Linked DNA regions of Canis lupus familiaris. The protein of the gene in region 1 purifies or fractionates together with the protein of each later gene. This does not show direct contact. Links are inferred from orthologs where the notes say so. Each region holds a gene or a part of one and is shown on either strand. Other genes may lie near its edges.

Region 1 (7,234 bases):
TCAGGAACAAAGGAACAATGGGGAAAACTGAGTACGGATGAATATTAGATGATTATTTGGGAACTAATATAAATTTTCTTATGTTTGATAATAGAATATTATTATGTAGTAAAATGTCCTTATTGCTAGACTATGCATGCTGTAAGACGTAGAGATAAAATGTCCCGATGTCTGCAACTAACTTTCAAATGATTCAGAAACACATACATATATTTAGAAAGAAAAATGGTAAAACATTACATTGCTGAATCTAGGTGGTCGGTATATGTACTACTCTTTCAGCTTTTCTATGTATTTTAACATTTTCAAGTGAAGAGTTTGAGAGAATTCCCCCCTTCAAGCTACTATACCCCACTTCTCTGCTTTGTTTTCCAGCAAAAATACTTCAGAAGACTGGTCTCTACTCAGTGCCTCCACTTCCCTGTTCTCTCATGAACCTACTCTAATCAGACTGGCCCTGATGCACAGAAGTAGCTCCTCACGTGGTTAATAAAAAGCTCCAATTGTTCAATCAAAAGCACCTCTCAAACTCTCATCTTAAAAACTCATGAATAGTTTTTGACTCAGCTGATCGAGTCTTCCTCAAAAGAATCTTCCCTTGCCGTCTGTGGTATATTTTTTTCATAAGGTCTCCTGCTGTCTTACTGGCCATTCTCTTTGGTCTCCCTCCCAAGTCCTGGTCACATGGCAAATCTGAAATATTGGCACATCCTAGGACTGTCCCCACAGTTCTCTTCTCTAGCCTCCTTAATGATCTCATCCAGGTTCATGGCTCTAAAGACTATCAACATGTAGGTAATTCCTGTATTAGTATCTGCTATCCCAGACCTCTCTCTTGAATTCCCATTTTGTATATTCAACTGCCATTTCTTACTTGAATGTCTAATAGAAGAACTGCATGCATCCAGAATCCCAGGGCCTAGCTGTATCACTTCTCATCACCTGTGCCATGCTCAACTGGGCCCAGCCCATTGCAGGCCTCACATGCAAGTTGTCATGACACCCTCCTAACTGGAAAGCCTGCTCTTGCTCTAGACTCACATTTTAGGAACTTTACAGCCAGTCATGTGTCCTCTGCTCACCCTATAGTGTCTGCATCTCATTCACAGGAAAAGTCAAAGGTCCTAACAACAGCCTGTCAGATGCTACTATGACATGTCACCCTCTCCCCCTGACACTGACCTGAGCTGTTCCCCCTCCTCTCTCTCCCACCTCCCAAGTAAGGACTTTTCCCTTGACATTCCCTCTATCTTAAAATACTTTTCCCCCAAATATCTACATGACATCCACAATTCCTTCAAAATATTCCTTAAACATTACCCAGTCAGTGATACTGACTATCCTAGATAAAATACAAGTCCCCCACACCATCACCACCACTTCCTCTTACCCTGCTTCTTTTTCTTGGCAGCACTTACCAACAGACATACTATATATTTGCTTATATACTGTCTCCCCAGTAAGGCTTCATAAAGGCAGAGACTTAAAATTCATCTAAAACTTAGTAAGTATTTGAAAATAACTGCTATGCTAATGACATCTTTCTCGAATTGCCAGATTAGTTCATGTTTGGTCCCATATAGCTTAGAACTACTTAATTACACTTCTAGATTCTATCTACAAAGAATATCACTAAGTAATTTATTGTTGCCCTTAGGACTGTCCTTCAGTCCAGGAGCTTTGAGCACAAACAAATGGGCATAATTAGCTTGAAAGCAGGGGATTAAGTACTTACGTGAGCAATGTCTCCTTTTGTACCTATGACCCGATCCTGAGAGTGCTTACTGAACTCAACATAGTGATCTTCTGTGAAGGAATGCCTACAAACAACAGAAGTACATAAGCAATGGACCTTCAGAACATATCCACTCAACACTGAAAATAAACATGATTCTCAGCCTCCTGCCTGACCATACTCATCTCAGGATTCCCAGCAACGAAAGAGGAAAAATTGTATGTTTAATATTAAAAAAAAAAAAAATTTTTCCTCCATGTTTGACCAAGAAGACCCAAAAGAATTAATTACAGGTAATTAACAGGAGTTACTTGGTTTAAAAAAAAAAAATGGCCACACATGTCTTTGAAAGATAAAGAGTGCAACTGTCATATGTGAACATGAGAAAATACACAGATGTGCCATTTTGGATTAGTGAAGGGTCAGCTGTGTGATGGGAGTGGTAAGAATACTTGGTAAGAATATCCTGGAATTAAAAAGGATACAATCTTATTAAATATGAGCCACAGATGAGAAAGAGAAACTAACAATAACTCACAGCATTCATCTTTTCCCAAAAGGCTTCAAGTTGAAGAACTGGATGAAGGGGAATACAAATTAGGTGATTTATAGAACAGAAAGACTAGGGTTATAAAAGTAGATACATACTTCATATCAAATACTGATTTCATTCCCCAAAGTGCAGACAGAGGCTGGCTCCAAGTAGCAGATGTCAACAGCAAGGACCCATCCTAAAAGAAGAAGGAGGCCCACAGTGGGTAATCACGTTTATATAAATGCTACCTGCCCTTAGCATTTTAAAATGCAAGCTTAAAAAAATACTACTGTATTATATAGAAAACAGAAAAACTCCACAAAGAACCAAGAAATGGTTGAAGCTGCTAGAATTTCAATATGTGCACATGCAATGTCCTAAAAAAATACTTAAATTTAGGAAATACTAAATCCTCCTGACCTAGTAACAAAAAAATATAATAGTTACAAGGGTAGGGGAAGAAAAAACTTGGATGTCAAAGATGGTTCCTCCTTTCTTAAATATTTGGCTATATTATACCTCAGTCTCCCTCATCTGAAATACCAATTTGTTAGACTTTCTTAGCTAAAAACTCTTAAAATTCTTTCAAAAGAAAAAAGCCCAGGCAGCCTGGGTGGCTTAGCGGTTTAGCGCCGACTTCAGCCCAGGGTGTGATCCTGCCAGGATCGAGTCCCACGTCAGGCGCCTTGCATGGAGCCTACTTCTCCCTCTGCCGGTGTCTCTGCCTCCCCTTCCCCACTCTCTCTCTCACTCTGTCTCTCATGAATAAATAAATAAAATCTTAAAAAAAAAAAAAAAAGCCCAATAAGAGCTGAGTCTCCTTTACTCTAAAATCAAGGAAATTACCCTTGTCATCTTAATGAATTATAGACTTCTTAATGACTTATAGAAATAACAGGGCAGCCCGGTGGCTCAGCAGTTTAGCATCGCCTTCAGACCAAGGCGTGATCCTGGAGACCTGGGATCGAGTCCCACATTAAGCTCCCTGCAAGGAGCCTGCTTCTCCCTCTGCCTGTGTCTCTGCCTCTCTCTCTCTCTCTCTCTCTCTCTGTGTGTCTCTCATGAATAAATAAAAAATTGTAAAAAAAAAAAAAAAAAAAAGAAATAACCAAAGTATCAATTCCATCCACAGAATAATACTAATAAACCAGGACCCACTAGGATCCTATAATGTTTTCCTAAAAACAGTACTTTGAGATTTCTTCCTAATACAAAAAGAAAACTTCTGTGATCATAGCTAATAGACTGTTTCCATCTGAGGCAAATTAAAAAAAAATTTTTTTCACATTCACACACAGCTCCCCCTCTTAGAAGAGGATTGGTAAACTTTCACTTGAAGGGCTTTGTGAGCCATATGTCTGTGTCACAACTACTCAACTCTGCCATTGTAGCACAGTTGCAGCTACAGACCGTATATAAATGGATAAGCATGGCTATGTTCCAATAAAAGTTTATATACAAATAAAGAGCCAGCCTACAAGCCCACAGCTCACCAACCCACCTTAGAAGAATGACCTAGAACAACCTAAGAAGGGATCCTTACTCTGGAAGGTTCAAGATGTGTGATAGCCGAGTTGTGACAGTTATAGCTGGCCTCCTCCTGTCCACTAAACACATTATAGAGCTTCAATTGCCCAGTGCAGGTGCCAAGCATCAGGAACCGCTCCCGTGCTGAAAATGCACAACAAGTGAAGCCACTCTCATCTTCATTGGCTTCCCTGAACACTGAAATTGGACGGAACCTAAGCAAAAAAAAGAAAGAAAGGAAAAAGAAGAATCAGAAACAAAGAATGCACAAGGACTCCAAAAAAGAAAACTTTGCTAGAAGTCTGAAAGAAGAAACAAAACACATATGTTTAAAATTCTTCCAAAACATCACAGTGACGTTCAGTGGTTCATTTGCATTTTAAGTGAGAGAAAAGGACTTCTACTTACAAATTTTAACAAAAATCCCCATGTTTAAACCTTGCGATTCCATCATCTTATATGAAATTTGTGAAGGATCAGAGTAGGAAACAACTTGCACCAATAAAAAAAAAATAGTTTGGGAGTCTAGTTAGGCACACCATGGTGCATGGGTTCTAGAAAACAGAATAGTTATAACAAGAACACAGAGTATCCTAACAATATACAACAATCACACAAAGAACCCACGGTTGACAAAAGGGGGTATAGTTACATTACTCATGTATTCACACAAGGAGATAATCACTGGAATTTCAGGCCAACAAACAGTCTGGCATTCTGGATTCATCATTCTATACTAGTATCACCCATACACTTTGTTTTAAATAGAAGAATCATTCCAATTCCCAGGGAGGTGGCCTCTCCTTACCTGCTAAAGATAAGGTGCCTATCAAAGCACCCTCCATCCACCCCTCCATACTTTGGAAATGATGCCCTGCGGTTTAGCCTTGAGGTAAAGTTTATTGGCGCTTGCCGCCTCTGTTTTGGCTCAGGGCATTGATGAGGAGTAAAGAGAGAGAAAGGTGGGCAGGTGGCAACCGGGTTCTTGCATCGAGCATGTTGCTCTCTAAGATATTCTGTGATGATACTGTCCAGCGTAGGTGGGGACGGAAGATGTCTGTCCAATTGCTTTTTTATGGCTGGGCTTTGGCTGTAGGCGCCATGGTCCGACTTCTGCCGCAACACTCTGATTTTCCTGCCATTGCAGGGTGATGGCCTCTCTCTGATAAAACTGATCCTACCAATCAAGGGGGAACTGCCTGCATAAGATGGTCCAGGCAAAGCTAGTGAACTCTGGGGGGGCCGTGGCTGAGGATGGGCAGTGGGAGCAGGAGGGGCAGAGGCACCCACAGGAGCATGGCTGCCCAGTCGAGTTGCAATGCCATTGGCCATGCGAGGGGTTCGGGGAAGAGAGACAGGAGAAGCAGCAGCAGTGACTGGGGTGAAGGCAGAAGAATGAGAGGCAGCAGTCATGGGCAAGTCAGCCTCTTTTGTCAGCACAGTTGCTGTCTCCCCAAGCCCTTTAGAAATGAGATGGTTTCGTATCAACAGAAGCAGCTCTTTCTCAGGGAAGGAAATCCTCGATTGGGCAACAACATCTGCTTTCTGCAGTCGTGCCAGAGACACATCAGTGCCAATGAGAAGTGGCTTTCCTGATACTCGTTCAATGAGCTCAGCAGCATACTTGCAGAACTTGACATGGTCACTGCGCTTGTCCTGCAGAACAGGCTCCTTCATCAGCTGCTGAATCTGGCAGCTGCTGAAAAGAGGCAGTTTGCTGATGATCTGCCGCACGGTGCTACTGCGTGATAGGCCCACTAGGGCCTTGCAGGCCAGAGCCCTTATCTGGTCTGCATCAGTGATGGGCATCTTGATGGACAGTAAGGACAGGAGCACCTTGATGCCATTGTTGGACTGGACCACATTCCACATCTTGGCCAGGGTGTGCTCGCTGCTTTTGGGAGTCTGAGGCAGCTTTCTCCGAGGAGTTCCAGAGATGAATTTGCCAATACTGGAAATTCGGTTATCCGGGCCACACACACAATTGATAATAATCTGAAGTGCTGACTTCTGAATTTCAGCATCATGGATAAAGAACTCACCCTCAGCCACTCCCAAAATAATGCTGATACCTATGGAGTAGAAATACAAAACATTTCATATTGTTCCTCATAAAACTAACAAGCAACTTCAATGACTGTTCCAGAGTCAAAATTCAGACTTCCATTCATGTTGTTCCACTTAAAACTACCACACTGTTGTATTAAAGTACAAGAATTTTTTTGAATAAAATGCAATCAGTTCTACTACAATATATCTTCATGACGCAATACATCATATGCAGTTGTTAAATAGGGGAATGATGTCAGTATTATGTGAAAGTCACTAAGGGTTATGTGCAATTTTTCCTGGGTAAGGGGAAGAAAAATAGTAGGAATAAATTAAAACCTTTAGCAAAAAAGGGAAGAGCCCTCAGCCTGGATGTCACAGTGGCATCAGGAACCCCTTTTGCTACATATGAAGAAAGGTAAAAACAAATAGCTGCATCTCAGGCTTTCTCCCCAAAGTGGTACACCCAAGACTCACAACCAGTCACACCACTCTGCATGCTCACCTTAGCAAGAGCCTTTACCAGCCCTTCTCTTAATAAAGTATATTTCAAAAAACTGTATTTTCCTTTTGTTCTTGTGTATGATTGCTTTTGTCCATTCTGAGCTGCTTGCCAATTACGGATTTTGTTAGAGCTCAGATTATGAAGTAGTTTTAAGTTTTTTACTGTCTGTCCCAACCCATTTTTCCCACAAACTTTATTTTTAGCACAAGACTCTACAATGTATAAGGTTTTCAAGAATGAACATGTGCCATCATAGCACATGTACTACTCAGAAAACCTGAGTTCACTAACTTAACTTCCCTTAAATAAAAGCGTATGGCACAACATAGATGGGACAACGCACCCTCCACTACTACCTTCTGTTCTAATGTTGCAAATTAAGTAAACAAACATGGCCAGAATAGCAAACAAAAACAAATCCAGACCAAGCAATCACAAAAATGGAAAGGTACAACCTACCTACAGTGGAGACAGTAGAGCCAGCCTCATCCAGCACATCCACTGATTCTGCCAACTGGAGCTGGATTTTTGGCACAACAGTGAGAATAGCCAGGACATCCAAAGCAAAGCGTACAGTGTCATTCCTGGACAGGAAAAACAATTACTCAAATAGAAACTAGGATACAGCCAAAAGAAACAAGAGTTAAAAAAGAGAGAGATACACAATGGATCAGAACTACTACCTGTGTGGCTCTGTCCCTAGACATGACATCAAGAGAGGATTTGTAAGTCACCATGACATTACTTCCAAAACAATGAGAATGGAATTTTCACCACTCACGCTGCTAAGATTAAAAACAAAGGATAATCCCCGATGCTGGTAAGGATGTATAAAGACAAATGCTCTCTCAAACTTTTGGTGGAAGTAGAAATAGGACCCTCT
Region 2 (7,901 bases), on another chromosome or scaffold:
GTGACTCAGTCAGTTAAGCATCTGTCTTCAGAGTCCTGGGATGAAGTCCCTCTCCCTCTGGCCTTCCCTCATGCTCATGCTCTCTCTCAATATAACATCCTTAAAAATAAATAAATAAATAAATAAATAAATAAATAAATAAATAAATAAAATTTGTTCAACTAAAAAGGAGATGAACAATATATTGATGGAAAATATTTGCAACATACAGAACAGGCAAATGATATTAAGGCACACACACAAACCAGTAAGTAAAAAATTCAATAGTAAAATGGGCAAAAAACAAAATCAACAAGTGATTCACAGAAAAGGAACTGCCAAACAGAAGATTTTGCAACTTCTCTAACAATAATAAGAGCTAATATATAATGTTTACTAGGCATCAGGTGCTTTTCTAAATGCTTCAGCTATCAACTCATTCAATCTTCGTAACAACCCTATGAGATAAGTACTATTTTTAACCCCATTTACAGATGAGGAAATTGAGGCTGAGGTTAAATGAGTTGCTCAGGGACAACCAAGAGTGTAGGGCTGGGATTCCAACACAGAACAGCTCTACAGTCCAGAATTCTTCTTAACCACTATGCTCTATTACCTGTCCAGGGATCTAGATATCCAGGGAAATACAAATTAAAATAAGGTATCACTTGTCTAAATTGGCAAAAATATAAAAGACAGAGTCAATGTGGAACTGAGCACTGTCAACATCGCTGGTAGGAGACTCTAATGGTGCTTTCTTTTGGTAGAAAAAAACTCTTACAGAAACAGATTCAATGAAAGTTCAGAAAAACAATTCACCCAATAAAAAAGGTGGACAATAAGCAGTTTGTTTTACTAAAAGATTGTGTTTTCCTGAAGGTAGTAGCAAATTCTAGAACTCCTTTCCTTTCTCTCTTAATCCTCAGATGTCAATAAAGGCTACCAGAGGATGAGCATCCTCTTGCTCCCATGCTAACTTTTTTATGCGGCTGCTTCCCTTGAGATTTAATCAGCTCAGGTCAAACCTTCTCTGAAAGCCTGTTTCTTAATACACTAACGTCATCATTGAACTGGTTAATTCACCTGATGATGATTTCTACTCTTTTCCACATGTGTCCCTTAACCTCTTTCTCAACAGCTTCAAGAGCCCAGACTGAGGTAAGAAGTTTCTTTGTTTGAAAACCATTAAAAAGATTCTTTCTTGTTTTCAGCAGTATGTTAATTCCAATTGGACCAAAAACGTTGCTTCTGAAATCTCTCAATTCCCCAGTCTCTGATTTTACTATCTACAGTATACATGTAACTAACAATACAAATTACTTAGGGGAAAAATAAAATCCATGTCACAGCTTTTCTAAGACTTCAGCCATCCCTATTTACTTATAGGTGCCATTATGAAAAAAGACACCGAAAGGTACACGAAGCTATAAAAAGAGGCTTTTACTAAACTTTACCACGAATGACCTTATGCCTAGTGTATAATGCCTTCCGTTTTTTTTCAAAAGAAGCATAGCAGATCAGCTTCCATTTGAAACTTTTCATTTGTATATCTAAAATGTCCTGTAACTTTTTTGTTGTTGTTGTTGTTGTTGCATTTTGGGTTCTAAAATTTACTACCAACTTGCTTTCTGACTGTGAAAAGCAATTAAAATTTCCAGCGGTGAAATGGGCATCGTGAAAACACAAAGGCAGCTCAGAGAACAGTGCTTCACTAAATCTCCTTTGGGGGGGTGGGGGGAGACCTAAAGTGATGACTACAACTTCACGGAGAGAAGAATTTGAGAACGTTCCATTTTGTACGCACGGGATGTAAAAAGAGATTTAAGCTCAGCAGGAAAATGTGAAATTGGAATGTCCAGGTTTGCCTATTTTTCATCCGCATCCTATGGTCACAGACAGACACTCCATTTAAACACGAGGCTTCCTAATACGTTAAAGAGAGAAAGAAGGTTGCACAAGCGGCACCACAACAGGCCAGGCCTGGGGCAATGATTTCTAGATCCTGCTAAATCCTACCGTGTCCCCAAAGTAATCAAATAATTGCTGGACAGCTCCACCTGGTCTCCGCGTGAACCTCACAAACGCAAGCGCGCAGATACCTTTGCCAGGAGTCCCGGTGCAAAACCAAAACACCTCAAGGCATCTCACGCTCGAGTGCAGGGTCCTCACTTCGCTGGACAGAAAAGTGAAAGGCTGAGAGAGAAGCTGCCACCATCCAGTGCCTCACAAGGCCAAGAGAGTGTTAAGATGAGGTGGATCCCGGGCTTCTCTTGGCCCACCTTCCTCTCTGCTCCAGCCCTGGAAGGAGCCACAAGTGAGGCAGAGAAGTTGTGGAAACAAGGAGGGGGTGGCGTAGAGGGGGGGACGGGGGAACCCGGGAGAGTTCAGCACAAGCATTTGCATTTGTCCCACCCAAGGTCACTCGCTCCGAGTCACTTTTCCCTGCTCCCCCGGGGCCTTCCCGCCAAACGGGCTGCAGGGCTGCGAGGCCAGCCCCCCGCGCCCCTCGGCCCTCCCTGCGGGCCGCAGCCCCCCTTCTGGCCTCCGGGCGCGGGCCGAGGCTCGGACCCAAGCCGGCCTCACCGCCACGCGTTTCCGACGCCCGCCGCGTCTCCCAGCCCAATTCGGACAGGGGCTCCTCCACTCCAGCCCCCGGCTCCCGGCAACGTCTCCTTCCTCCCTCAGGACGCCCCCTGCCCCGCCTCCAGTACCCGGTCCCGCCGGGGGGACCGGGACGCCGTTCCCTCGGTCCCCTCCGTCCCCTCCCGCCGCGCTCCCGTCCCGAGCCCAGCAGGCGCGGCCCCCGCCCCCGGCCCGTCTCCTCCGCCAGCGGCCGCCCCCCAAGTCCTCCCGGCCCCGCCCCGCCCCACTCCCGGGCGGATACAGTTTGAAGCCCTTCAGGATCTCCCTGGCCCTCTCGTCCTTGGCTGACATGATGCGGCGGCCGCCGCCCGCGGCTCTCCCACGCTGGCCCGGCGGAGCCTCGCAGACGGTGCCCAGGAACCGAGGACGGAGCCGCAGCGCGGCCTGGAGACCTCCAGCGAGCAGCGGCAGCGGCCAGACCCGGACCGGCCTCTCCCTCCCCTCAGCTCCCGCTCCTGATCCCTTCTCCTTCCCCCTAGCCTCGGAGCGCCCGCCCCAAAGCCAATGGAAAGCCCTCCTCGCCGATTGGCATCCCGAGCAGCCAATAGAAACATTCAGCGGCTTCGCCGGGGGACGACGAGCGTCAGTGGGAAGGGCCCTCCCCGGGAAGTCCCGTAGGACAAATTTTTCTTTAGGTCTTGTTGCCTAGAGTTTGCCCCAGCGGAGGGTTGGCTTCAGATCTGCAGAGGCTCGAGGGGCCCGCTCCCTCCGCGGGGCACACTAGGGCGCTGAAATGACGGCGGGTTGCCCTGTGCGATGTGAGAGAGACTACATTTCCCAGCATTCCGGGGGAGTGCCCGGGGGAACCACAGATCCCATCACGCAACAAAGAGGCCCGGGGACTACAAATCCCAGCATTCCCTGCACCCTGTTCCTCTGTAACTTAGACTCCAGTGTGCCGCGCAGTGTGCGCAAATTCGTAAACCTTCCCTCAGCCTTGGGGGTTTCTGAATTCGGAGACTTGAAACTGGGCGGGAAGACCCCCTTAACTCTCAGAAGAGGATGACAGCCCACAGGGAGGTAACATCTGTTTACATGGAACTCAGAAATCTCCTGCAAATCATGGTAAGGCTGCAAACAACAAACAAAAACACTTGATTAAACCACGGAAGATAAAATGACTCCTTTAAATCGTGCTTGTTTGTTGGTCTGGGGCGCCTTTTACTTGTTTTGCAGGGGTTTCTGGTGTGCTCCTGCGTTGGGCTGGGAGAGATATGGATCGTATACTCAGACTCTCCCTACCGGAAGGGATATTAAGAGAATTTGCCAAACCACCCTCTGTTGTTTTACATACGAGGAAACTGAGGCCCCAGAGAGGCGAAGCGATCGTCCACTGGTTACAGCAACTTGGGACAGAGTTAGAATTCGGCTCTAAGTCTCCTGACCCTCAGTTTGGGCTGTTTACACCACACTGAGGTGGCGATATTTTTAGCAGCATGGCTGTGTGATTATTATTTTCCTTAGTGAAGTATCCTCATCCAGGTTGAAACACCCAGAGGTTAGGTAAGCATTCATTTTGGTGGATTTCCTGTAAGTGAAGGAGTGTGATGTTTGTTTATCTTCAGTCTAGGAAGGACTTAGTGTTTTGATTTGTTATTTGTTGCTCAAGGTGACATTTAATGTGATTTCAGGAACTAGGTAAAATTGTAGCGTAAGCTAAGGTTTCCTTGGACATCTCCTATCTCTTTTCCGAGGCCTTCCTTCCTCTTCCCGTCCCCCTTTCACCCATCTGGGCACCCACCCAATTTTTCCTTCCATGTAATTCAACAAAGAGCCTTTTCAGGTTTCCGGTAAAGGGTGAAAAGGCATTGTCACTGCCTCCAGGAAGATAACCATCTAGTTAGGAAAAAAAGGAGACTCTGCTGAGATTCAAGATGAACTGCAATAAATGTCATAAAGGAAAGGTCATCAGAATGCTACAGAGGTTCTGATGGAAAGATCAGATCCAGCTGGCAAAACTTGATGGAGGAGGTGGCATTTGAATTTGAACGATGGGTGGATTTTTTTTTTTCCTGTTAAAAAAACTTTATCTTAAAATTTTTTTGTTCATGAGGTATGACATGCAGGAAGGGCACAGTTTTGACATTTGTATACATCTGTGTCACCACCCCCCAAATCAAAATATAGAACATTTCTGGCACCCCTGTGCCCCTTCCCAATCAGCACTGCATCCTCCCATCCCGATAACTATTCTGACTTCTATTACCATAAATCAGTTTTGTTGTGAATTTCATTTAAATGTAATCATACAGTATGTACAGTAGGAGCCTGGCTTTTTTTCTTCATCAGTTGTGTGTTTTTTTTTTTTTTTTTTTTGTGAGATTCATCCATGTTGTATGTAGCAGCTTTTTTTTTTTTTAATTACTGACTAGTATTCTATTGTGTGTATCTAGCAATATTTATCTGTTCTATTGATGGGTATTTATGTTATCAGTTAACAGTTTTTGGCTTTTGTTAAAGCTGCAATGCGCATTCTTATAGGTTTCTTTTTGTAGACTGCACTTATTTCTAGGAGAGGAATGGCTGGCTTGTACAGTATGCATATGATCAGCAACAGTATGTCAGTTTTCCAAAGTGTTTGTATCATTTTCCCTTTCACCTGCAACGTAAGAAAATTCTAGTTGACTCTTATCCTTGTCAAAACAGGTTCTTTGGGCAGCCCGGGTGGCTCAGTGGTTTAGCACCGCCTTCAGCCCAGGGCATGATCCTGGAGACCTAGGATTGAGTCCCAGTCAGGCTTCCTGCATGAAGCCTGCTTCTCCCTCTGCCTGTCTCTGCCTCTCTTTCTCTCTGTCTCTCATGAATAAATAAATAAAATCTTAAAAAAAAAACCAACCAGGGTCTTAGAGGTCTTTCTAACTTTAGCTCTTTTGGCTATAAATGTGGTATCTTATTACAGTCTTTTCTTGCATTGTCTCTGATGTTGAGCACTTTTCATATGATTTTTAATTATTTCAGTGTTTTCTTTTGTAAAGTGCTTGTTCAAGTCTTTTCCCTACTTTTTAAATTGGGCTTTTTGTCTACTTATTCATACTGATTTGTAGTTCTTTATGAAGTTTGGATATGGAGTTCTTTGATACAGGCTTCAGGAATATCTTTTCCAGCTCTGTGGCTTGCCTCTTCAGTCTCGCATTGGTGTCATTTGATAATCAGAAATTCTAAATTATAATGTAGTGTAGTAGCTCAGTGTTTTCTTTTATGATTAGTGCTTTTGTGCATTGAGTTTAAGAAATCTCTGCCTACAGGGTTGGTAGGATTTTAACAGGCAAAAATAGGAGGGAAGAGCATTGCAAAAAAGGATGGAGAGCAAGCTTGAGCATAGGCCCTGGTGTCAGAGAGGGAAGGTGGAGGTTGTGTTGGGCATAGGAAGGCCTAGGGTTTTGGCTGTAAGAGGGTGGGACGAGCCAAAGCTGGAAAGGTTGGAGGGAAGCATACTGAGAAGGGATTTCTCTGCAGCCCTGGAGTCTGGACATTATTCTGGAAGAAGTGGAAGTACTGCTAGAATATTTATGAACTCAAACAGAACTTAATTATCTTCCTATTACCGCAAATTTGCTTTTTTTCCTCTGCAGCCCCATTTACTTAGAAACATCACCTCTGAGTGAATAGCCAGAGTCTTGGGTGATACCCTTCTTCCCTATCCCTGCATTCAGCTGGTCAGCACATCGGACACATTCCATAGTCTAAATGCCTCCCACCACGTCCCTTCTGTTTCATGCCCAACTGCCACTGTCTTTGTTCAGGATCTCACAATCTCTTTTCTGTACTATATCAATCACCTCAAGAGTTTCCCTGCTTCCAGCTCTCTCCATATCCAATCCATTCTTATAGCAGCTAGTGTGAGCATTCTAAAGTGGCAATTATTCACACTTCTCCACAGGTTAAAAGCCCTAAGTTCTGCCACCCCCCAGCACCCTCAAGATAAAATAATAACTCCTTTACATGGCTTATACTTTTTGTGATTTGCTTGCTCATTCTTCCATGTTCAACTCAAGCCTCGTCTCCAGAACCCTGCTTTAAATCACCTTTCTCCAGAGCACAGGCAGGAGAAGAGCCTTAATCTGTAGTTCTAGGGTGCCTATGGCAACTGGCTGTTATAGCCAGACAGGTTTGTCTCTCTCCAGGGCTGTGGGCTAATCCCAGGTAGGGACTCTGCAGTATTAAGATATTTACTGCGTATAGTGCCGTGCGTGTGGTTTATAGCACCCTTGATGACCTGACTCCAGGTCTGTAGCCCTCATTTCTCAAACCTGAGCCTTGTATTCCAGACACTCTGGGTTTCTTTTCTGCATTAGTATATGCTACACAGGGCAAGCCTCTGTGACTATGGTCAGCCACCTTTTCTTCCCTTTTTGCCTGGAAGATGCCTGTTTTCTTTTCCCCAACATACTCTCTTCTATGCTTCTAAAGTATTGTCATATCTTTCTCATAGCACTTAACATATTGAAGCTTTTCTCTTCTTCTTCTTCTTCTTCTTCTTCTTCTTCTTCTTCTTCTTCTTCTTCTTCTTCTTCTTCTTCTTCTTCTTCTTCTTTTTTTTAAAGTAAGCTTCTTGCGCAACATGGGGTTTGAACTCAGGACTGGTGATTGAGAGTTGCATGCTCTACCAACTGACCCAGCCAGGCGCCCCCACACTGAAGCTTTTTGAGGGCAAGAACCTTGTCTTCTCTTTATATAATCTACCAGAACATAGAAATTAGAACAAGACATTTTTGCATAAATCAGTGGGTTGGTGCTAGGCTCCTTTGCATCTGTCTGATTTCTGCACTCTAATTCACCAAAGGCAAATAGGGCTATTTTCCTTGTCTTTAAGACCGGAAAGTCTGTGATGTATACTTTAAAGGAACCAGCTTAAGTGTTCAGCTGTGTAGCATTTCTTAGCCATCTTCCAGGAAAGTTGCTAAGTACTAGATGCAACCTCACATATGTCATTTTGCTCACAGAGCCATTGTTGGCTCAGCCCATCTCTTGCTTATTTTATTTTTTATTTTTTTAAAAGATTTTATTTATTTATTTATTCATGACACACACACACACACACACACACACACACACACACACACAGGCAGAGACACAGGCAGAGGGAGAAGCAGGTTCCATGCAGGGAGCCTGACATGAGACTGGATCCCGGGTCTCCAGGATCAGGCCCTAAACTGCTGAGCCACCCGGGCTGCTCATCTTGCTTATTTTATTTTATTTTATTTTATTTTATTTTATTTTATTTTATTTTATTTATTATTTTATTATTTTAATTATTTTTATTTTTTCCATCTTATTTT

Evidence for each region. The genes of interacting proteins can lie anywhere in the genome.
Region 2: the proteins of DCAF1 (region 1) and COPS7B purify together in Homo sapiens (affinity purification with mass spectrometry; 3 studies listed by BioGRID, with this or other methods). This does not show direct contact. The link is inferred for Canis lupus familiaris from reciprocal best matches to the Homo sapiens genes DCAF1 and COPS7B.

Annotation. Positions count from the first base shown.
Region 1 is NC_049241.1:38,562,537-38,569,770, reverse strand, and holds part of DCAF1 (DDB1- and CUL4-associated factor 1), read right to left. Parts: intron 6,936-7,234; coding exon 6,811-6,935; intron 5,870-6,810; coding exon 4,606-5,869; intron 4,013-4,605; coding exon 3,814-4,012; intron 2,467-3,813; coding exon 2,384-2,466; intron 1,821-2,383; coding exon 1,736-1,820; intron 1-1,735. UniProt on the Homo sapiens protein: Acts both as a substrate recognition component of E3 ubiquitin-protein ligase complexes and as an atypical serine/threonine-protein kinase, playing key roles in various processes such as cell cycle, telomerase regulation and histone modification.
Region 2 is NC_049246.1:43,816,612-43,824,512, forward strand, and holds the start of COPS7B (COP9 signalosome complex subunit 7b), read left to right. Parts: upstream 1-3,290; 5' UTR 3,291-3,687; intron 3,688-7,901. Other genes in the region: PDE6D (retinal rod rhodopsin-sensitive cGMP 3',5'-cyclic phosphodiesterase subunit delta), read right to left, coding at 2,864-2,913. UniProt on the Homo sapiens protein: Component of the COP9 signalosome complex (CSN), a complex involved in various cellular and developmental processes.